Linked DNA regions of Saccharomyces cerevisiae S288C. Changing the gene in region 3 together with the main gene of any one other region gives a genetic interaction. Each region holds a gene or a part of one and is shown on either strand. Other genes may lie near its edges. The genes, in order: SLX4, MAG1, MPH1 and MMS4.

Evidence for each region.
Region 1: mutations in MPH1 (region 3) and SLX4 together harm fitness more than expected from each alone (negative genetic interaction), as found in Saccharomyces cerevisiae (3 studies listed by BioGRID).
Region 2: of MPH1 (region 3) and MAG1, changing one enhances a phenotype caused by changing the other (phenotypic enhancement), as found in Saccharomyces cerevisiae (4 studies listed by BioGRID, with this or other methods).
Region 4: mutations in MPH1 (region 3) and MMS4 impair growth when combined (synthetic growth defect), as found in Saccharomyces cerevisiae (5 studies listed by BioGRID, with this or other methods).

Annotation. Positions count from the first base shown.
Region 1 is NC_001144.5:410,608-416,898, reverse strand, and holds SLX4 (Slx4p), read right to left. Parts: upstream 3,619-6,291; coding exon 1,372-3,618; downstream 1-1,371. Other genes in the region: TIS11 (Tis11p), read left to right, coding at 241-1,098; PDC5 (indolepyruvate decarboxylase 5), read right to left, coding at 4,485-6,176. UniProt on the Saccharomyces cerevisiae protein: Regulatory subunit that interacts with and increases the activity of different structure-specific endonucleases. Has several distinct roles in protecting genome stability by resolving diverse forms of deleterious DNA structures.
Region 2 is NC_001137.3:453,070-457,575, forward strand, and holds MAG1 (DNA-3-methyladenine glycosylase II), read right to left. Parts: upstream 2,968-4,506; coding exon 2,077-2,967; downstream 1-2,076. Other genes in the region: EMP65 (Emp65p), read left to right, coding at 1-166; COX15 (Cox15p), read left to right, coding at 390-1,850; DDI1 (Ddi1p), read left to right, coding at 3,250-4,506. UniProt on the Saccharomyces cerevisiae protein: Hydrolysis of the deoxyribose N-glycosidic bond to excise 3-methyladenine or 7-methyladenine from the damaged DNA polymer formed by alkylation lesions.
Region 3 is NC_001141.2:356,025-362,774, forward strand, and holds MPH1 (3'-5' DNA helicase), read right to left. Parts: upstream 4,373-6,750; coding exon 1,391-4,372; downstream 1-1,390. Other genes in the region: SGN1 (Sgn1p), read right to left, coding at 119-871; AIM21 (Aim21p), read left to right, coding at 4,861-6,750. UniProt on the Saccharomyces cerevisiae protein: ATP-dependent DNA helicase involved in DNA damage repair by homologous recombination and in genome maintenance. Capable of unwinding D-loops. Plays a role in limiting crossover recombinants during mitotic DNA double-strand break (DSB) repair.
Region 4 is NC_001134.8:439,605-444,826, forward strand, and holds MMS4 (Mms4p), read left to right. Parts: upstream 1-1,910; coding exon 1,911-3,986; downstream 3,987-5,222. Other genes in the region: ubiquitin-binding serine/threonine protein kinase VPS15, read left to right, coding at 1-1,711; Hsp70 nucleotide exchange factor FES1, read right to left, coding at 4,217-5,089. UniProt on the Saccharomyces cerevisiae protein: Interacts with MUS81 to form a DNA structure-specific endonuclease with substrate preference for branched DNA structures with a 5'-end at the branch nick.

The DNA.
Region 1 (6,291 bases), on a different chromosome or scaffold from region 3:
ATTAAAGAAGACGACGCCAATCGACACCCTAATTTGGAGGTGTAGATGCACAATGGCACATGCAGTTGGGTGCATTGTGCCAGCAATCTCGTCTCGATTTCTCTACATGTAACTTGTATATATATTTGAGAGAAGACATAATCGTTGGTGGGACTTGGAGGCTCTTGGTAGGTCGTATTTGTGCATCTTGAGAGAAAGCGAAACAGTGCTGCAAACTCAATACGTAAAAAATAACGCAATATGTGGGCTCAATTATCATATACTAGACCAGAATCTCAGAAGACTGACTTAACGTCGTTGTTTTCCACAGATCAAGAGCAAAATCCATTAAATGACTACCAGTACCAGATCAATATTAGGGAACTGGAGGAGTATTACAACAAGACGATTTTAAACGAGGATAACATACAGGAAACAAGCAGTGAAATATCTTCGGCAGTTTCATTCTCTCCACCAAAAAATACAAACGCTATTCAACCGGGGCTACTGTATGATCCACAGTTAATGAACCCTTTTCTCCCATCCGCTCACCTGAATAGCACGGCACCTACTACTTTTAAAAAGAAACTAGAGGTACAAATAAATCCGGACTATGTCCCAAAATCTTCACAATTACCATTAACTTCACAGAATTTGCAACAGTTGTCTCAACAAAAGCCCAAAAATGATGCTTCTTTTTCATCAGAGAAGGAATCCTCAGCTCAACCTAAGGTGAAAAGCCAAGTGCAGGAAACTCCCAAACAATTATACAAGACAGAGCTGTGCGAATCATTCACTTTAAAAGGAAGTTGCCCTTATGGCAGTAAGTGTCAGTTTGCTCACGGACTCGGCGAATTAAAGGTTAAGAAATCGTGCAAGAATTTCAGGACGAAGCCCTGTGTGAATTGGGAGAAACTAGGTTATTGTCCTTATGGCAGAAGATGCTGCTTCAAACATGGCGACGACAACGACATTGCTGTTTACGTGAAAGCTGGTACTTACTGTAACGTCTCTTCGACTAGCAAACAATCAGACGAAAAGAGAAGCAATGGTCGCGGCTCCGCCAAGAAGAAGAATCTAAATGTTAAAGTAAAGGCTTTGCAGAGAATGACCTGGTGAAACAATTCCTGGCCTGGCGAAGACCGGCGTCTCAACTAAACTCAATTATTTATTATTTTTTTCTCCATGTTATGCTTTTTTTTTTTCTGCTTTTTTTTTTTTATTCTCATTTTCATGTTTGCGATATTGGTAACTCTAAAAAAAAAAAACTTTTATTTAAGTTAAGCTACTTCATGACGGTATATATGCATATTTGTGTACGTGTATTCTTCATCTATACGTAACGTTTGTTTTGTTTTGTTTTTGTTTTGTCAAATTCTCAATCATTCGGCACTACTTTTTATCGTTTCTCAGACATATTCCTTGAACATCGGCCCATTCTCTGATGGTCATTTCGTCGATTTGCGAAACAAATGGCTCGGCGCTGAACAGCTTTTCAATTAGCTCATTTAGCGGAATGGGTTCAAAGGTATATATTCGCTCCAAAAAATCAGGGAAGGCTTCAATTAGTTCGGTTAAATGATCAAATATTTCTATCTTACTGAAATTTGCCACCCCACCATGCTCACCTTTATTATCTGGATTAGCTGTGGACAGAATTTGAGATGCAGTTTGTAAGGATTGAATGATTTCAACCTTCGTCCTCATAGGTTTCAACCCCACTGTTTTCAAGCTTTGTCGAAGCTCTTTCATTGATTGGGACATCATGATCTCACAAAATTTCTCGGGAGAAGCTATGGAACTAGCTGCAGAGGTATCAATAATGTCGTTGCTAGTAGTAGGATTTTGTGTAGAATCTTTAGTCGAAATTTTGGAGGAATCTACCAATTGGATATCAGCAATGCAGAATTGGTCATCAAATTCTGTCTCCTCTTCTTCAGAATCATTTGCCTCAACTCTATAAAAGTTATGTTTCACCAGTTTGGGGTTTAGCTTAACTACGCTTTCTTGCAATAATTTAACTCTGATGGAACTTCCTATGTTATTCTTTTCTTCTTCAGTTTTTAAAGTTGTAGTAAGGTTCTTTTGAGGAATAATTGTAGGGGTTCTTGTAGCTGGTACCTGAACCTGATTTGATGCTTGTGATGTTACCCCTGTTTTGTTGTTTTCTACTTTCAAAGGTGATATTAACGATCGAACAGCTTTGAATGATTCCTGTGTTAAATCGATTATCCCATCCAAAGGCGATGTGTTTGGAGTGAAAAACTGTGTGCTGCCTATCGTGTCGGTGGCTAATGGTGGTCTTTCATCATTTTCAATGAAAACATACCGATACTGGTCTAGTGGAAACAATGTGGATGTCTCATCTGTAGTATCTGAGACAATAGAAATATTGTCATAATCATTATCCGTACTGTTTTCGCATCTTCTACTTACCTCAACAGACATAGGTTTGCAAGCTTTATAATCTGTCAGTGAAAATGCATTTATACGTGTTCCCACAGCCAGTTCAATATCTTCACCAACAACATTTCCTACCGGTTGTTGTGGCTCTAACCCGTTTCCATATTCTTGAGAGCTTGTAGAATCTCCCCGTGAAATAATTATGCTTTCTTCGTCTTTCATAATTTCACTTTTGTCATCCATTACTTGAGACAACGATAAGAAATTTACTGCACTTTGGGTATCGCGTATCCTTTCTTCCTGCTCTGGTTGAATAGCCTCATCGGGAAGCTCGGGTGGTAATTGTGATGCTGTCCAAAGTCTTTGTTGTGAGGATTCTTGATTGTCTAGAGAATTCGAGCTTTTTTCGCTTCCATATAAAAATTTCTGGACTTCATTCAAATCCGTTTCCTCACTTTGCGGAAACTTTTGTAGAAGAAGTTTCATAATATCTTTCCACTCCTGTTCACTATATGTATCAAAAGTAGCTTTTTCACCCTTGTTATTCCTTGCTCTGGGAGGTTTATCACTGTTTCCTTCATTTTGCGTCTTTATTATGTCCAAAACCTTCTTGTGCTTACCTGATAATTGCTTTAATAAGCTGGCAGTCCTTGAACGTTCGTAGTTATTAATATTGAAATCAGTTATATTTTTGATAATTTTAGGGTCTCGTTTAGTTTTAGGTTTTGTTTTGAGTTTCGAATTAGCCTTCCTTATTGCTGGTCTTCTTTTAGCTGTTACATTTGCATTGCTGTGGGTATCATCTGCGTTACTACTCTTGAACGAATACTTGAATTTTTCAAGTTTTAACTTAAGATTTGTTTCTTCCTCTGCGTCATCAAGTCGGCTTTGAATTTGAGTGTTAATGAATATGTTCTCCTCGATATTTGATCCGCCTAAATCGGGATGGGAAGTGCTGACTGGGTTACAACTTTTATCAACATCTTTATTTCTTTCTGTATCGTTTTTCGTAGTCTCTTGCGTCATAGGCGATTTTTGTGCAGTTACGCTTTTTACTTGCGTACCTATTGAATCATCATCAGATGATAAGGAAAACTGCATTTCCGGTACTTGAGTTTCCATTCCTAAAGAGTAAGCATTCTGGCTCTCTCCATTCAGGTTAGTTTGATCGGTAACGTTCACATAATCCTCGTTTTGTAAAAACTTCAAATTCCGTTGTGCCCTCTGAAGTTCCATTATTAAGTTCCCCAACTGAACTACTGGTTATTATTATGGAACAGAGATAGATAATATCTCTCTTGCTTGTTCGGAGTTCCATTCATCTCTATATTTTTAGTATGCAGCTTTCGCGTTATAAATTAAACAAAAAACCACTAAGTGACAAAGAACTACGCATATTAATAGTATACAACAAAAACAAAGGAAAAAAAGAAATGAAATCAATTGGCGAAGCAGAACAAGTTTTCTTTTCCCTACAATGATTGTAAATTCATATATGGTGCTCTACTGGTGATTTTTCATCGAACAAAAACCCGTTTTTAGGAAGGACAGAGGTCCATATCAATATAATTAAGAAGGCATGTTGGCCTCTGTTTCTTAATATATTCTAAATAAGATGTAAGGCCTTGTAATTCAGTTTGTTCACAAAATTAAAAACTGTTTAATGTTTTTTGTTTTGTTGTAGTATTCGAGCATTAAGGATAAAAAAAGCTTGTGAATAAAAATCTTTCGCTAAAAATCAATATAAGAAAATGGTAAGCAGCTGAAAGATAATAAGGTATGGTTAAAGATCACACCACCCTCTTCAATTAGCTAAGATCATAGCTAAAGGTACAAAACCGAATACGAAAGTAAATAAATTAATCAGCATAAAATTAAATAATAAACCACCTAAAATATTAGAAGCTAATCTTTAACCTGGAAGACAGGACAGAAAAGTAATTACAAGAACATATGTGAAAAAAAATAGTTGATATTTTAAACCAAATCAGAAATTTATTATACTAAAACTATATCTATGCCAATTATTTACCTAAACATCTATAACCTTCAAAAGTAAAAAAATACACAAACGTTGAATCATGAGTTTTATGTTAATTAGCTTATTGTTTAGCGTTAGTAGCGGCAGTCAATTGAGCTTGTTTAACCAAGTTTTGTGGAGCATCAAAGACTGGCAACATAACTTCAATCATTCTAATCTTAGAGTTGTCTTGGAAGTCCTTGTCTTGAGTCAACTTTTCCCATTCACCAGTGGTAGCAACTCTGTGGGTTTCGTAGTTTCTAGCACCAAAAGTTGGCAATAAGGCCAAGTGGTCCCAACCTTGAATTTCATTATATTCGGCATGAGGACCGTGAATCAATTTTTCAATGGTGTAACCGTTGTTATTCAAGACAAAAATGTATGGCTTCAAACCCCATCTAATCATGGTAGAGATTTCTTGAACAGTCAATTGTAGAGAACCGTCACCAATGAATAAAATAACTCTCTTCTTTGGATCAAGTTCTTCAGCGGCCATAGTAGCACCCAATAGAGCGCCGACTGTGAAACCAATGGAACCCCACAAGACTTGGACGATAGCGTATACATCTGTTGGGAAAGTAGTTTGGTTAATACCGAAGGCGGAAGTACCGGTTTCAGCAATAACAATATCACCTTCTCTCAAGAAGTTACCCAAATGGTTCCACATCCATTCTTGCTTCATTGGAGTGTTAGCTGGAGTAGACTTGGTAATTGGAACTCTAGCTGGGACAGCAACAGGTTTGTAGTCCTTGACGACTTCTGGAATAGCATCCAACAATTTTTGCAAGGCAAATTTCATTTGAACACCTGGGAAGGTGGCGTTTCTGATCTTGATGTGGTCAGAGTGGAATTCAACGATATTTTTGGTCTTGTAGGAGTAAGAGAAAGAACCGGTATTGAAATCAGACAACAAAGCACCGATAGACAATATCAAATCAGCAGATTCTACAGCCTTCTTAACTTCTGGTCTAGACAAGGTACCAACGTAAACACCACCGTATCTTGGGTGTTGTTCGTCAATAGCACCCTTACCCATTGGGGTGACGTAAACTGGGAATTGAGTCAAGTCCATCAACTTCTTAGTTTCAGCCTTGACATCATGTCTAGAAGCACAAGCATCAGCCAAGATAACTGGGTTCTTAGCATCCTTGATCAATTCAACAACAGTTCTAACAACTTCAGCTTCAGCTTCAGCGTCGTTTGGCTTCAAAGACAAGTCAATTGGAGTTTCCAATAACTTGGCTGGGACGTTCAAGTCAACCAAGTTAGCTGGCAAACCCAAGTAGACTGGTCTTTGGGTAGTGTAGGTGGTTCTGATACATCTGTCAATTTCAGCTGGAGCGTTAGCAATATCAGTGATCATGGCAGTGGTTTCAGAAATGTTGGCAGACATTCTGTGGAAAACAGTGAAGTCACCGTTACCCAAGGTATGATGCAACAACAATTGCTTAGCTTGAGAAGAGATGGATGGAACACCAACAACGTGCAAAACACCGACATGTTCAGCGTAAGAACCGGCAATACCATTCAAAGCAGACAATTCACCAACACCGAAGGTGGTAATAATACAGGACATACCCTTGATACGAGCGTAACCATCAGCAGCATAGGCAGCGTTCAATTCGTTAGCGTTACCAGCCCATCTCATACCTTTGACTTCATAAAGCTTATCCAAAAGAGACAAGTTAAAGTCACCTGGCAAACCGAAGACGGTGTTACAGTTGACTTGGCTCAATCTTTCAAATAAATATTTACCTAAGGTTATTTCAGACATTTTGTTCTTCTTGTTATTGTATTGTGTTGTTCTCTTTGAGATTGATTATGTGAAATAAGTGTAATAAGAAAGAGAGGAAAGGACTTACTACAGTATATTGATCGAGAATGGCAGC
Region 2 (4,506 bases), on a different chromosome or scaffold from region 3:
TATAGAGACCGAAAGTGTATCGCCAATGCGGAAAAGAAAAACTACTTTAACTGCTGAATGTACTCCTCCTAGCCTAAATGATATTAGAAGACAGAAAGATTCCAAGAATCCACGATCGCTTGAAAATGTCGCTCGCTATAAAATGGTTTCTAAAAGAATATGGTAATCTAAGATCCGCATTTATCGCGGCTTACGGCTTTCGGATATTTCGTATATTGCAAGGAGCAAAAAAGAAACCCTGCTTACTAAAAAGCTATTGTTTTGCAGTTTATAAGTTCTTGCCTTTTGAATTATTGATCTTTCCTTTATCGTTTATTTAGTTTCCTATTGTAACTTGGAACTGTATTATATAATAGTGCACAGCACTGAAGTTGTAACTACTGTACGTCATGCTTTTCAGAAACATAGAAGTGGGCAGGCAGGCAGCTAAGCTATTAACGAGAACCTCGAGTCGTTTGGCCTGGCAAAGTATTGGGGCCTCAAGGAATATTTCTACCATCAGACAACAAATCAGAAAGACTCAACTATATAATTTTAAGAAAACTGTGAGCATCCGTCCATTTTCTCTCTCCTCCCCTGTTTTTAAACCACATGTTGCTTCAGAATCAAACCCTATAGAATCACGTTTGAAGACCTCGAAGAATGTTGCTTACTGGTTAATAGGTACATCCGGTTTGGTATTTGGTATTGTTGTTCTTGGTGGGTTGACTAGACTAACAGAATCGGGGCTGAGTATTACCGAATGGAAACCTGTCACAGGTACTTTGCCCCCTATGAACCAGAAGGAATGGGAAGAAGAATTTATCAAGTATAAGGAATCACCAGAATTTAAATTGTTGAATTCTCACATTGATTTAGACGAGTTCAAGTTTATATTTTTTATGGAGTGGATTCATAGATTGTGGGGTCGTGCTATCGGCGCTGTTTTTATATTACCTGCAGTTTATTTCGCTGTATCTAAAAAAACTTCAGGCCATGTCAATAAGAGGTTGTTTGGTCTCGCAGGTTTATTAGGATTACAAGGATTTGTTGGTTGGTGGATGGTGAAGTCTGGTCTTGATCAAGAGCAACTAGACGCAAGAAAATCAAAGCCTACCGTTTCTCAATATAGACTTACTACGCATTTGGGTACCGCCTTCTTTTTATACATGGGTATGCTCTGGACTGGTTTGGAAATATTGAGAGAATGTAAATGGATTAAGAACCCTGTTCAAGCCATTAGTCTCTTCAAAAAATTAGATAATCCCGCAATTGGCCCAATGAGAAAGATTTCTTTAGCTTTGTTAGCGGTGTCTTTCCTTACCGCTATGAGTGGCGGTATGGTTGCCGGTTTGGATGCTGGTTGGGTCTATAACACCTGGCCAAAAATGGGTGAACGATGGTTCCCTAGTTCTCGTGAATTAATGGACGAAAACTTCTGTAGAAGAGAGGACAAGAAAGATCTGTGGTGGAGGAATTTGCTAGAAAACCCGGTTACAGTTCAGTTGGTCCATAGGACATGTGCGTACGTTGCGTTTACATCAGTACTAGCTGCTCATATGTACGCTATCAAAAAGAAGGCCGTAATTCCAAGGAACGCGATGACCTCTTTGCATGTTATGATGGGCGTCGTTACTTTACAAGCAACACTTGGTATTTTAACTATATTGTACCTAGTCCCAATATCGTTAGCTTCTATCCATCAAGCTGGTGCTTTGGCGTTGCTAACAAGTTCTTTGGTGTTTGCCTCTCAATTAAGGAAGCCAAGAGCTCCGATGAGAAACGTAATCATTACCTTGCCACATTCAAGCAAAGTAACTAGCGGTAAAATTTTAAGTGAAGCGTCGAAGTTAGCCTCGAAACCATTATAATGGATAAAGGTATTCTTATGAGAATTGACAGTATACTCGCTTTTCCGCTTTGTCGCTCCAATGGTTGGATTGTATGTGTGAGGCTTTTTCTTATTATATGTTGGTATCCCTACGAGAAGCTGTAAATATGAATTTCTTTAGTAGGCATCACACACAACAATAGGGTGTATTTATTTTTATTTTTTTTTTTCTTATATAAATGTCAGTAATACATGATATCTTTAAGTTAGGATTTCACGAAATTTTCTTCTGCCTTCATCATGGCATCTGTATTTGTGCTCGCGAGCCTCCAAAGTATGAACATAAACACAGACCTATACGGAGAAAATGTTTCAGAGCATTTTTCCATTATGTCGTCGTCATATATTTTCCAGTTGTATTTCTTATGCTTAATCTTACTCTTTTTAACTACTTTTCTTTCACGCATTAATTCTTTTTCCAATTCTGGCTTATCTGAAAGGTATTTTGAAAAACCCCTAGCAATACCTAGATCTTCAGGAGCAAATACATCCATTCTTTTCAATCCGGAGATCAAGAACATTTTGGCACTCCATGGGCCTATACCTTTTACATTCGTAACTAAACTTTCAATCACTTCCTCATCATTATCTTTTTGACCGAAGAGCTTTTCGATATCCTTATATTTTTCAGTAAAATAGACAGCAAGAGACTCTAGATATATCATTTTCCTTTTACTCAATCCACATTTTGCGATTTCTGCACATTTTGCTGGGTCTTTGAAGTCTTCGAAAAGGATTTTGTAATCAGGAAATGCACCGCCATAAAGACTGACAACCCTTGCCTTGATGCTTTCAGCTGCTTGGCCACTGATCTGTTGAGACAAAATTGTGCTTGCAAGCCTAATAAAATAATCTTCGAGTGTATTAGGGACTTGAGTCTCCTTCAAGTACAACGTAAATTCATTATTCTTAAGTATGGGAAAAAGTGATGGATCTTTCTCTAAAATGTGTTCGCAAGCCATATTGAACTTTTCTTCATGTCTAGCAATATATTTCTCAGGAAGAGCAACCTCTAGAGGTCGAGACCCTAATTCTTTTGCTATTTCCTTAACAGCGTCTGCTTTTATTAACTCATCATACTCCCTTTTTAGTTTCATTGAGACCAATCCCTCTCTAGCTTCTCTTGATTCTCAGTAAAAAATTAAAAAGGAAAAGTACCACTTCCATCGTCATATCAGAGGGCAGTGGCCAATTCTCATTGATTCATAGATAACTTAAACTTTATGTAAGAATTCCCGTCGCCACCCCGCCCTGTAAATTCATCGCCACCGAAAAGATAATAATACCAAAATGATATATAAAGTAGGTCGAATAAGAAAGTATACTTAACGTAGTTAACAAAGTACATACCAAACATAACAGCAAAAATATACGTAAAGATGGATTTAACAATTTCAAACGAACTTACTGGCGAGATATACGGCCCAATTGAAGTCAGTGAAGATATGGCTTTAACTGATCTAATAGCATTACTGCAGGCCGATTGCGGGTTTGACAAAACAAAACACGACTTATATTACAATATGGACATTCTAGACTCAAACAGAACTCAGTCTTTAAAAGAACTAGGGCTCAAAACCGATGACTTATTATTGATTAGGGGTAAGATTTCCAATTCCATTCAAACAGATGCTGCTACTTTGTCCGACGAAGCGTTCATAGAGCAATTTAGACAAGAGCTACTTAATAATCAAATGCTTAGATCACAACTCATTTTGCAAATCCCTGGATTGAATGATTTAGTAAATGACCCACTGTTGTTTAGGGAAAGATTGGGCCCGCTCATATTACAAAGACGTTATGGTGGCTATAACACCGCCATGAATCCTTTTGGCATCCCCCAAGATGAATATACTAGACTAATGGCCAACCCCGATGATCCTGACAACAAGAAGAGGATTGCAGAGCTTTTAGACCAACAAGCTATCGATGAACAGTTGCGCAATGCTATCGAATATACACCTGAAATGTTTACCCAGGTCCCTATGCTTTACATTAATATCGAAATAAATAACTACCCCGTAAAGGCATTTGTAGATACAGGGGCTCAAACAACGATTATGTCCACCAGGTTAGCGAAGAAAACTGGCCTGTCGAGAATGATTGACAAGAGATTTATTGGAGAAGCTCGTGGCGTAGGAACCGGCAAAATTATTGGGAGAATTCACCAAGCCCAAGTCAAAATAGAAACACAATATATTCCATGCAGTTTTACCGTCTTAGATACTGACATCGATGTTTTGATAGGACTAGACATGCTGAAAAGGCATTTGGCTTGTGTGGACTTAAAGGAAAACGTTCTTAGGATAGCAGAAGTGGAGACAAGCTTTTTGAGTGAAGCGGAAATCCCAAAAAGTTTTCAAGAAGGACTTCCAGCACCAACGTCAGTTACAACTTCGTCTGATAAGCCCCTAACACCCACCAAGACTAGTTCAACTCTACCACCACAACCGGGGGCTGTTCCTGCGCTTGCTCCAAGGACTGGTATGGGGCCAACACCTACGGGAAGAAGTACAGCCGGTGCTACAACGGCAACCGGGAGAACGTTTCCCGAACAAACGATTAAACAGCTTATGGATCTAGGTTTCCCTAGGGATGCTGTGGTAAAGGCTCTTAAACAGACTAACGGAAATGCA
Region 3 (6,750 bases):
ATTTACCCTATTCTTGAAGGTTTGGATAGACAAGCGAGATAACACCAGTTGTCCTTCAACTTATTCAAAGCAGCAGCTCACTTAATTATTATTAAGTATACACATGAAAGCCTTGTGTTTATTTCGAATCTTTTTCTTGGGTAGAACTTTTAACGTTGTCAGACGGCATGACAACAGGTTTTTGGGAAGTAGATCTAATATTTTTTGTAGAGTCTTTGGCACTGTTGAAGTGTTTTTTTTGGAAGGTTCTATTCTTGTTATTGTAAGGACTCCTATAATAATTGTTCTTATTATATCCGAAATTTTGATTTGGAGACTGATTTGGAGGGTACGGTGGGTAATAAGGGAAGGTATCGGGATTGGGGTAGGCCATTAAGGGATAATTCCATTGCCATTGTTGGAAATACTGGTTTTGCGAGTTGTAATGCCTATTAAATCCTGGAATGTTAGTTCTTTTTCTGGAGACAGCAATTTTTTTGCCTTTAAGTTCTCCTCCATTTAATTGCAGGGCTTTTTCTCTGTATGCCGGACTTTCAAATTCAATATAGCCGTAGCCTTTTGGTGTTCCCGTATTCCTATCATAAAGAAGTGTTATTCTTTTTATCTGGCCACAGTCTTTGAAATGATCTTCTATTTGCTCTGGGGTGACATCCGGAGTGATGTTACCGACAAAGATAGAACGCGAGTCAGCTTCAAGTTGATGAGCGTGTTTTTCCTCCTTGCTTAGCTTTTGCGACACCTGTGGAGTGCCCTCGATAGATAGTTTACCCACAAGTTCATCCAGCTCGAGCTCTTGCTTGTCGTTCTTTTTATTGTTCGAAATTTCAGTCTTTAAGGTTGCCTTAGCATCCACTTTCTCTTCCTGGGACATAACAGCAATTGCAAATGATGACACTATGTGACAGCAGATATATGTTTATGTTAATAGGCCTGGTTGGAGAGCGAAAGTTGAGATTACTTACTTAATCAAAATTAAATTTGAAATTTGCTGCATTTTAAGGTTACTTTTCGGAGTGTAGGAAATTGTTGCGGTTTTTTTTCACCTAACGAATGATTGATAATCTTTTTCATATCCTCCAAGAAACAAGCTGTTTATTATGGTGATTGCCACAAATTGAAGCGCTATGCTTAGTGCTTCATGACAGAAAGGTTTTGCATTGGTAGGCGTGGAAGATTACAGATTGTACTCGTCGTTGGCTCAATTTTTATATTTTGTTGCTTCAAAAACAGTGCCGTATCCTTAATGAATGAAAAATTCTAAAGAAAATAAGTTGATACTAAAAATATAATGTCCTTGAAGTATTTATGCGATATATAGAAAAATCTATAAATACTTAAATATTACAGCAGCGTTATTTTTGTATAGACGCCGACGTATAAGAGTCTCCTATCAAAAATCAGAATCTGAGCCCAGTATGTCATCTAATTCTGCGTTCGATAAGGTAAAAGATTGGGATGAATCATGGTTGACACTGTTGTTATCGACTTGACTTTTATCGTTAACTTTTACAAATTTTTTTTCGTCTCGTAACATGCCTCTCGCCAAACATTTAGTATAGTTCATATCAATTGTCCTCTTCTTATTATCATTACTCTCGTCGTTAAATAACGTAATGATTTTTGAAACTTTGTGACAATGCGGAACTTTTACCCCTTTGGTGTATTGTACAAAATTGGGCTCCACATCGAAGGAAACACCTTCTGGGATATAGCGGTTTCTGAAAAAATTCCAATCGTCCAAACTCAATACCATGTTATTCTTGTCAACAGTACAGCTCTTTTCTTTTTCAAGGTTGTGTTGATTTCCTCGGATGTCTTTCACATTTTTCTCGATTTTAGTTGGAAGACCACAATCATTCACAAATAAAGCCATATTAGGGCGTTCAAAATTATGAAGTGGCTTGAGTGTGGTAAGACTTTCGCCAGTGCGAATAATGGCAGTTTCCAAATCTTTTTGGCATCCATTCTGCCCTTCCGCAATGAAAACATTATTATCATCACTGACTTCTTCATCTTCAGTTTCTAATGAGGAGGAAGCTTCCTCGGTTGAATCATTCTCCAGATTATCCAAAGCTTTAAAAATCTTCCGCTTCTTACTTGGGTTTTCATTACTCGTTACTAGTTGTTTCCCGCCACTTTCATTCACCAAGAACTTATTAATTAAAGTGCTTGCACTAACAATACTGGTCTCAACATTATCAGGCATAAAGAACTTCTTCGGTTTTTTATTTTCCTGAACTCTCTTCTTCTTTGTTATGGCTTTTTTTGGCTTCACCTTTTTGCCCATCATACACTGAGTCGCATAACGAATAACTTCGTCAACATCTTCCATTTCATTAATTATTTCGTTTTCATCATTAATCGTGATCAATGTCTCGTGACATTCCGGAATAATGTCTTCAGGGATTATCCGATCTGATTTTTTATAGTCAATGCATTGCTTGGATATAAGCGCTTGCAGGGTTGAATAGTCTTCCATAGCACGCTCGAATTTGTATGATTCATTACTGCTAAACAGTAGTACTATCTTACCATCTCGTTTTCTGCCTGTTCTACCCATACGCTGAATATTTTTGATTGGACTACTTGTAGTATCATAACAGATTATTAAATCAACTTCTCCGATATCCAAACCTTCTTCTCCAATTGATGTACAAACGAGAACATTATATTCACCCTTTTTGAAATTATGGATAACCTCTTTTTGCATTTTTTGGTTCATTCCGCTAATCTGAGCCTCTTCAGAGCTCCCCGTTCGTCTGGCACTTCTTTCAAGTTTATCATTCGCCGCTCTCTTAGTTCGTTCAGCTTCCAAAAATTTCTCTTGCTCTTGCCTATGCAATCTCTCTACCTTCTTCCTTCCCTTTGGCGCATGTTTTCTTGTGTATTTGACCTCATCAAAACCTTCTTTTGCACGAGCTTGTCCAATAAAAATATGAGGCCTGATTTGATCGTCAGCTACCGAGTCTATGAACTTCACAATTTCAAGTGCGCTTTCTCTTAATTCTGTAAAAATAATAACCCTCGAGTCGGAACCCCTTTTCTGAAAAAAGTCCATTAGTTCATCTCTAACACATTGTAACTTCCCATGACCGACAAACTTTGGATCACTTAAATAATTTTCGCATTGATTTTTGATGTTTTTCAAAATCGGATGGTAATAAAACTCAGCTGCAATTTTATTAGTAGATTTTTTAAGATTATATTTCGTAGTGAATTCTGTACATTTATTCTGGAAGTAATTGAAAAATGTCCTTATTCCATAAATTTTTAATCTCTTTAGCATTTGACCCACATTGTTCAATAACTGTAAAATAAAGAAGTTCCTCCACTTAATTCCTTCAGGTATAGTAGGGTTAGCAATAATTTTTTGGCTTTGTTGCATGGCTTTGAAGGCGTTTATTTGTGAAGGGTCACATTCCTCATATATACCGAGTTCAATTGCCTGTTGAAGCACTGGTTTGACGGCCATACCTAATTGTTCGATTATGTCTTCAATTTCCAACAAAAGGGGCACTTCAATTTTTTCCTTTTTTCTTTTCTTCATATATTTCACGATATCCATGCTTTCTTCAGTCCTAATTTCAATCTTGGAAATATCTAAGTTATTAACCACTTCTTGGACACCTTCCAGGTCAGAGGCTGGTGTAGCGGTCAATGCTAATAATCTGTATGATGAATTGAACCTATCTATGAATTTTACCACATTTGTATACGCAGAGGAGCCAGTAGCTCTGTGAGCTTCATCGATGACAAGACATACAATATCCTTAGGATCCAATACACCCCTCTTCAAGTCATTCTCCACTACTTGCGGTGTGGCAAAGAAAACTCTCTTATTGGCCCAAATTTCTTCTCTATTTTTCCTGCTTTTATCGAGTAATATAGCAGTTTGATCCGAAGGTATTCCTGTTATACCTAAGCATGCCTTAATTTGCTGGGCTACCAAAGGTCTTGTTGGAGCAGTAAAGATTATTTTGGCTTTTTTGGTCCAACGAAAATAATTTAACATTACTGTACTGGCAATGAACGTTTTACCCATACCCGTTGGGATGGCGCATAACGTATTTTGAAACAGTGATTTGTGAACAATTGTATACTGATAATCCCTTACCTCGTAATTTGTAGGGTACACGTAGAACGACAAAGCATCGTAATCAAGCTCATGATGAGTGGGTCCAAAACTGACATCTCTTTGAATTTCTTCGTACACAGTTTTCTGCCCAGGTAAAACGTTATCATGAAGGTCTTTTTGAACTGGTACAGCACGTCTCGTTATAGTTTCCTTCACAGATTTATTGATAGCCTTTTCATACAGTTTATCCAGCTCGTCATCTTCGAAATCACTAAAGTAATCATCTGCACTAGCCATCAGAGAGAAAAAAGGACACTAAAATAAAACAGAACCGGAATGTGTTGAATAAAACTGAAGTGAGCTACTATATCTTGAATCACAATATCTTAGCTCCGTGATAGAGCATAGGGCACCTCTATTGATCTCTTCGTGATGCCCGGTTATATACACACGTAACCCCGTAAAAGCCGTTACCCGGTTTATGTCTTTCTGTGAGCACAGTAAGCTAGGAAGGTCGATGGAGAAGAAGACTCCTGTCTCATATGGAACAACCTTGCAAATTGAGTGCAATTATCCCCTTTGGAGTTTGAATTTTGTGTTAGTACATTCTCCTTTTTTAACTTGTCTTTTCTACCACATGCACAATGAAAGCAATCTTGTTTTACCAGGCGCGAAGCAAAAGAAAAGGAGAAATATTGAGTATATTTTAATTTAAGCTTTCTGATTTAGAAAGTATCATGTTTTGTTGGTGATCTAACAGGAAATCTATTTTGACCGATTATACAATGCCATCGGAAGTTACGCCAAAAGTACCTGAGAGGCCCTCAAGGAGGAAGACATCTGAGCTGTTTCCGTTATCCGGCTCTGAATCAGGAGATATTAAAGCTAATAGCGAGCCACCAACACCAGCAGGAACGCCCAATGTACCAACACGTAGACCCATACTTAAAGCAAAGACGATGACTTCGTTTGAGAGTGGTATGGATCAAGAGAGTTTGCCCAAGGTACCATTGCAGAGGCCAGTTAGACGCTCCACTACTGAAGAACTAAATAATGTAATGAATAACACCAGTAAGGAGTTAGAGGAGATTGAAAGTTTGATTTCAAAGCACAATATACACAATGTTTCCAGGAAAAAAAGTCCAACTTCTGTGGAAGAGGGAAAGGTGGCCGCCATTCATCAAAACGGGCAAAGAAGTGCATCAGATAACAAAACTTCTACAAATCCCTCCCCACTCGAAAAAAATGAGCACGAGGGTGCTGAGGGCAATGAGTCTGCTATTTCACCTTCTAATTTAGTTAACAAGTCTAATAATGAAGTGACAGAGCATAGTGACTCCGAAGACCTTACTGAAAAGCAAAAGGTACATGCTGCCCTAGATAATGAGGCAGGGGATAGAAGCCATTTTGAAGAAAAGCTCATTCCTGGAGATATGAAAGTACAGGTAGATGTTAGTAAGGACGTAGAAGAAGGCAGCCTCAATGCTCTGCCTCCATCTGGAATCACAGAATCAGACGACAAAGCTGAAAAGTTCACTAAACATCCTGAATCTAGTTTAGAAGAGCTACAGAAGCATCAAGAACAACAGGAAGAAAAAATTTTCCAAAATCCAACCGATGAAGAAAGTACTACCTCTTTGAATGAGAAACAAGAAGGCAAGGACAACATGGAAGTGAATTCTCAGCCGCAAGGACCTTCTGATACTGAAACAGTTATAGCAGCAACTAGCTCAAACGTTCCTTCACAAATTGCAAGTGAAGAGGAAAATGACGTTCCAGTGATTCCAAGGAGTAGGCCTAAGAAGGATTTTGAAGCACACGTACAAAAAGAGGAGTTGCCTAACACACAAGAGAAGCGAGTATCAGAAGAGTGTGATTCGACCCTAATTAGTACCGAAGAGGAAAGTAAAATCCCAAAAATTCCCTCTGAAAGACCAAAGAGACGTGCCCCACCTCCGGTTCCCAAAAAACCTTCTTCAAGAATTGCGGCCTTTCAAGAAATGTTACAAAAACAACAGCAACAAGATCTGCATAATAATGGTAATTCTTCAGCTACTACCGCTTCAGCAGATATTGCTAAAAAACACACAGATTCTTCTATTACTAGCGATACCACGAAGGCAGATTTTACGAGCAAATTGAATGGACTGTTTGCGCTACCTGGTATGGTGAACCCTGGACAGCTTCCACCTTCCTTGGAGAAGAAGTTGTCCTCCCCGGATACTGAATCTAAGCTAGGACCCCAGGACCAATCACAGGCAAAAACGGGACCTCTGGGCGGAACTAGAAGAGGTAGAGGACCTCGTGGGCGTAAATTACCTTCTAAAGTAGCTAGCGTAGAGAAGATTGAAGAAGATGACAACACTAATAAAATAGAAATATTTAACAATTGGAATGTTTCCTCTTCCTTCTCTAAGGAAAAAGTCTTAATAGATACTACTCCTGGTGAGCAAGCAGAAAGGGCCTTGGATGAAAAGTCAAAGAGCATTCCCGAGGAACAACGAGAACAATCTCCAAATAAGATGGAGGCTGCTCTTTGTCCTTTTGAGCTGGACGAAAAGGAAAAGTTACCTGCTAATGCTGAGTCGGATCCTCTTTCTCAGTTGCCACAGACGAACGCCGTAGGTAATAGAAAAGCCATAAGTGAGGAATCTCTGTCCCCATCGGAGGCCATC
Region 4 (5,222 bases), on a different chromosome or scaffold from region 3:
AGCGAACCCTGATTTTCCATATAATAATAGTAATTACCGTCCATTAGTACAGAACTCACCACCTAACCTAAACCTTACGAATATTATGCCAAGAAACATTTTCTTTGATGTAGAGTTTGCTGAAGAGTCGACAAGTGAGGGACAAGATTCTAACTTAGAGAACCAACAGATATATAAATATGATGAAAGTGAGAAAGATAGCAATAAGCTAAATATTAACGGTAGCAAACAGCTATCTACCGTCATGGACATAAATGGATCACTAATATTCAAAAATAAGTCCATTGCCACTACTACTTCTAATTTGAAGAACGTTTTTGTTCAGTTAGAACCAACGTCCTATCACATGCATTCTCCAAATCATGGCTTGAAAGATAATGCAAATGTTAAACCAGAAAGGAAGGTAGTCGTCAGCAACAGCTATGAAGGCGACGTTGAAAGCATAGAAAAATTCCTATCGACTTTCAAAATTTTACCTCCTCTGAGAGATTATAAGGAGTTTGGGCCTATTCAAGAGATTGTACGGAGTCCAAACATGGGTAATTTGAGGGGCAAGTTGATAGCTACTTTGATGGAAAACGAACCCAATTCTATTACGTCTTCTGCTGTTTCTCCAGGAGAAACACCCTATTTAATAACAGGTTCAGATCAAGGTGTAATCAAGATTTGGAACCTGAAAGAGATTATCGTGGGCGAGGTTTACTCTTCTTCTTTAACTTATGACTGCTCCTCTACCGTAACTCAGATAACCATGATTCCTAACTTTGACGCGTTTGCCGTTTCCAGTAAAGATGGACAAATAATTGTATTAAAGGTTAATCATTACCAACAAGAAAGTGAAGTCAAATTTTTGAATTGCGAATGCATCAGGAAAATTAACTTGAAGAATTTTGGTAAAAATGAATACGCAGTGAGAATGAGAGCATTTGTGAATGAGGAAAAATCTCTACTAGTAGCATTGACGAATTTGTCAAGGGTTATTATATTTGATATTAGAACCCTGGAGAGGTTACAAATTATAGAGAATTCTCCAAGGCATGGTGCCGTTTCAAGCATCTGTATCGATGAAGAGTGTTGTGTCCTAATTTTGGGGACGACTAGAGGTATTATTGATATATGGGATATCCGTTTCAACGTGCTGATAAGGAGTTGGTCCTTTGGGGACCACGCACCAATCACGCATGTGGAGGTTTGTCAGTTTTATGGAAAGAATTCTGTAATTGTTGTAGGAGGTAGTTCAAAAACATTTCTAACAATATGGAATTTTGTTAAGGGGCATTGTCAGTATGCTTTCATAAATTCTGATGAACAGCCATCTATGGAGCACTTTTTACCAATTGAGAAAGGCTTAGAAGAATTAAATTTTTGTGGAATCAGGTCTTTAAACGCACTAAGCACTATCTCAGTATCTAATGATAAAATTCTTCTTACCGATGAAGCAACAAGTTCCATTGTTATGTTTAGCCTAAATGAGCTTTCTTCTTCTAAAGCAGTAATAAGTCCTTCAAGATTCAGTGACGTTTTTATTCCTACACAAGTTACGGCAAATCTCACAATGTTATTGAGAAAAATGAAACGTACTAGCACTCATTCAGTAGATGATTCTCTATATCATCATGATATTATAAATTCTATATCTACATGTGAAGTTGATGAGACACCTTTGCTGGTTGCTTGTGATAACTCAGGGCTTATTGGAATCTTCCAATAATTTTTTTTATTTTATTCAGCTTCTTTATTCTAAATGCGTATAAATTTGTATTCACCTTAAACATTTTCGATCATTTAGGAAAGGGCTTGCAACGCGTTGAAGTACCCTTTTCACGAAAAAAATGGTTGTATACGTAAATAAAGAACAATGTATGGATTATGGTATAGAATAATAGTAGTCACATATTGCAGCTAGTTAAATGAGCCAGATCGTTGATTTTGTTGAGGACAAAGATTCAAGAAACGATGCCAGTATTCAGATCATCGATGGACCCTCAAATGTTGAAATTATCGCTCTCTCGGAATCAATGGATCAAGATGAGTGCAAAAGGGCACATGTAAGCTCTGCAGAGATGATTCCATCATCACCGCAAAGAAAATCTGTTTCGAATGATGTTGAGAATGTTGACCTAAACAAATCTATCGAACTTTCTGCGCCGTTCTTCCAAGATATCAGTATAAGCAAGCTAGATGACTTTTCTACAACAGTAAATTCCATCATAGATTCGTCTCTCAGAAATGAGAATAATGCAAAAGGAAACGCGAAAAAACTTTTGGATGATCTAATAAGTGATGAATGGTCAGCTGATCTTGAGTCGAGTGGAAAGAAGCACAACAAATCACAATACAATTTGAGGGACATCGCAGAGAAATGGGGAGTACAGTCTTTAAAAAATCCAGAGCCTATTGCTGTTGACTGCGAATATAAGACACAAGGAATCGGAAAAACCAATAGTGACATTAGTGATAGTCCGAAATCACAGATAGGAGCAGCTGATATACTGTTCGATTTTCCACTGTCTCCAGTAAAACATGAGAACCCAACTGAAGAAAAGCACAATTCGATTGCTAATGAAAATTCTTCACCAGATAATAGCCTGAAACCAGCAGGAAAACAAAATCATGGTGAAGATGGGACATCCATGGCAAAAAGGGTATACAATAAAGGTGAAGACGAGCAAGAACACCTTCCGAAAGGAAAGAAGAGAACCATAGCGTTATCAAGAACACTAATCAACAGCACCAAACTACCTGATACAGTAGAACTAAATCTTTCTAAATTTCTCGATTCCTCAGATAGTATTACTACTGATGTACTTTCAACCCCTGCAAAGGGGTCTAACATAGTAAGGACAGGTAGTCAACCAATCTTTAGCAACGCTAATTGTTTTCAGGAAGCAAAACGCTCGAAAACATTAACGGCTGAGGATCCCAAATGTACTAAAAATACTGCCAGAGAGGTATCACAACTAGAGAATTATATTGCCTATGGGCAATACTATACTAGAGAAGACTCAAAAAACAAAATACGACACTTGTTAAAAGAAAACAAAAATGCTTTTAAGCGAGTTAACCAGATATATCGAGATAATATAAAAGCACGCTCTCAAATGATTATAGAGTTTTCGCCTAGCCTTCTCCAGTTATTTAAAAAAGGAGACAGTGATCTGCAACAACAATTGGCACCAGCAGTTGTGCAATCAAGCTATAACGATTCTATGCCGCTTTTAAGATTTCTTCGAAAATGTGACAGTATTTACGACTTTAGTAACGATTTCTATTACCCCTGTGATCCCAAAATAGTTGAAGAAAACGTTTTGATTCTATATTATGATGCGCAAGAATTTTTTGAACAATACACTTCACAAAAGAAAGAATTATATAGGAAGATACGATTTTTCTCAAAGAATGGAAAACATGTGATTCTTATACTAAGCGATATAAATAAACTCAAAAGAGCTATTTTCCAATTAGAAAATGAAAAGTACAAAGCTAGGGTAGAACAACGATTGTCAGGAACAGAAGAAGCTTTAAGACCGAGAAGTAAAAAATCAAGCCAAGTTGGAAAATTAGGGATAAAAAAATTTGATTTAGAGCAACGATTGCGCTTCATTGATAGAGAATGGCATGTCAAAATACATACTGTAAATTCACATATGGAGTTTATTAATTCTCTGCCGAACCTAGTGTCATTAATTGGAAAACAGCGCATGGATCCCGCAATTCGGTATATGAAATATGCTCATTTGAATGTAAAATCCGCTCAGGATAGTACAGAAACGCTAAAGAAAACCTTTCATCAGATAGGGAGAATGCCTGAAATGAAGGCGAATAATGTCGTGAGCCTATACCCCAGTTTTCAATCATTACTTGAAGATATTGAAAAGGGAAGACTGCAATCAGACAACGAAGGTAAATACTTGATGACTGAGGCAGTAGAAAAAAGATTGTACAAACTGTTTACTTGTACTGATCCAAATGATACTATTGAATGATGATCGAACGAAACTTTGTATATAAGAACATACCTTAAGGCAGTCGTTTTGAAAATCACTGCAGCTCTATTTCCCCCTCCTTACCTTTTTAATGAATTCCATTTTACAGAAAGTACTATTGATAAATATTCGTAATAAAATAAAACAGTGTTAATAATAAATGTTCGAGATTCCGGTTAAAGATAATATGAAATGGTGAATGTAATATCATTTTATTTCTACGGACGTAATCATAATACATACTTTACGGCTAAATAATCGTCTTCATTAAGTCTGTCCTTTAGAGGCTCGATATGTTTGTAACCTTCGTTCAATTTGTGCAATTCCTGTTCATTAAATTTTATTCCGGAAGATATCAGGTGAGAGAGAAAAGACAGAACTCTATCTATGATGTTCAAGTTACTCTCGTCAGACAAGCACTCAATCGTACTTTCAATTACTCCATCCTTTCTCAGCACACTGATTATATTTTCATCAATCTTAACAGATGACAAATATGCGGTCAATAAGGCAATGGCTCTCATTTTCAGTTTTGGTTTGGCGGTGTTATCACTTAATACAGGTGCTATGCAGTCGAGCCCATTTAATTTGAAAAACTTTTCTGAGATATCTTTGTGGTTTCTTATTAGATTAGATAGTGCGTAAAAAGCTTTTGTTCTCACGTCGAGTGGCTTTGTCTTGTCACTAGCTATTTCGATAAGGCTTCGCAGACCATTGTCGTATTTCATGAAATTATTTTGCGAATCCAAGTTGTTTTGCACAGCCGTTCCAATAATGGATAAAGCAGCAGCACGTAGTTCTTCATCCTTCGTCTGAACAAGAACATCCAACAATGGCTCCCACAGTTTTAAATTTTCGATATTATTAGCATTATCTAAGTTCTCAATCAACATTTCAAAGTTGTCAAATGCAACGAGTTTTGTTTCTAAGTCAACCTCCGGATTCATAATAACAGCCATGGATTCTTTCATTAAGGTTGGATCGTCAGGACCACCACCACCGAATAACTGCTGTAGCAATTTAGGATCAGGTTGGCCGGCCCTAGCCATAGCTTCTTTGTCCCCTTGAGAATTCGCAATAGACCACTGTAATAGCTTTTCCATAGTTATGTATGTGTTTTTTTTTCTATTTTACTCTTTCGTTGAAAGGTAATGGCTTTCTGACTGACGATGAGTGCTCTTTTAGATATAGCCAATCGCTGGTTTATAAGCAAATTTCTGTCAGCGCGAGATGCCT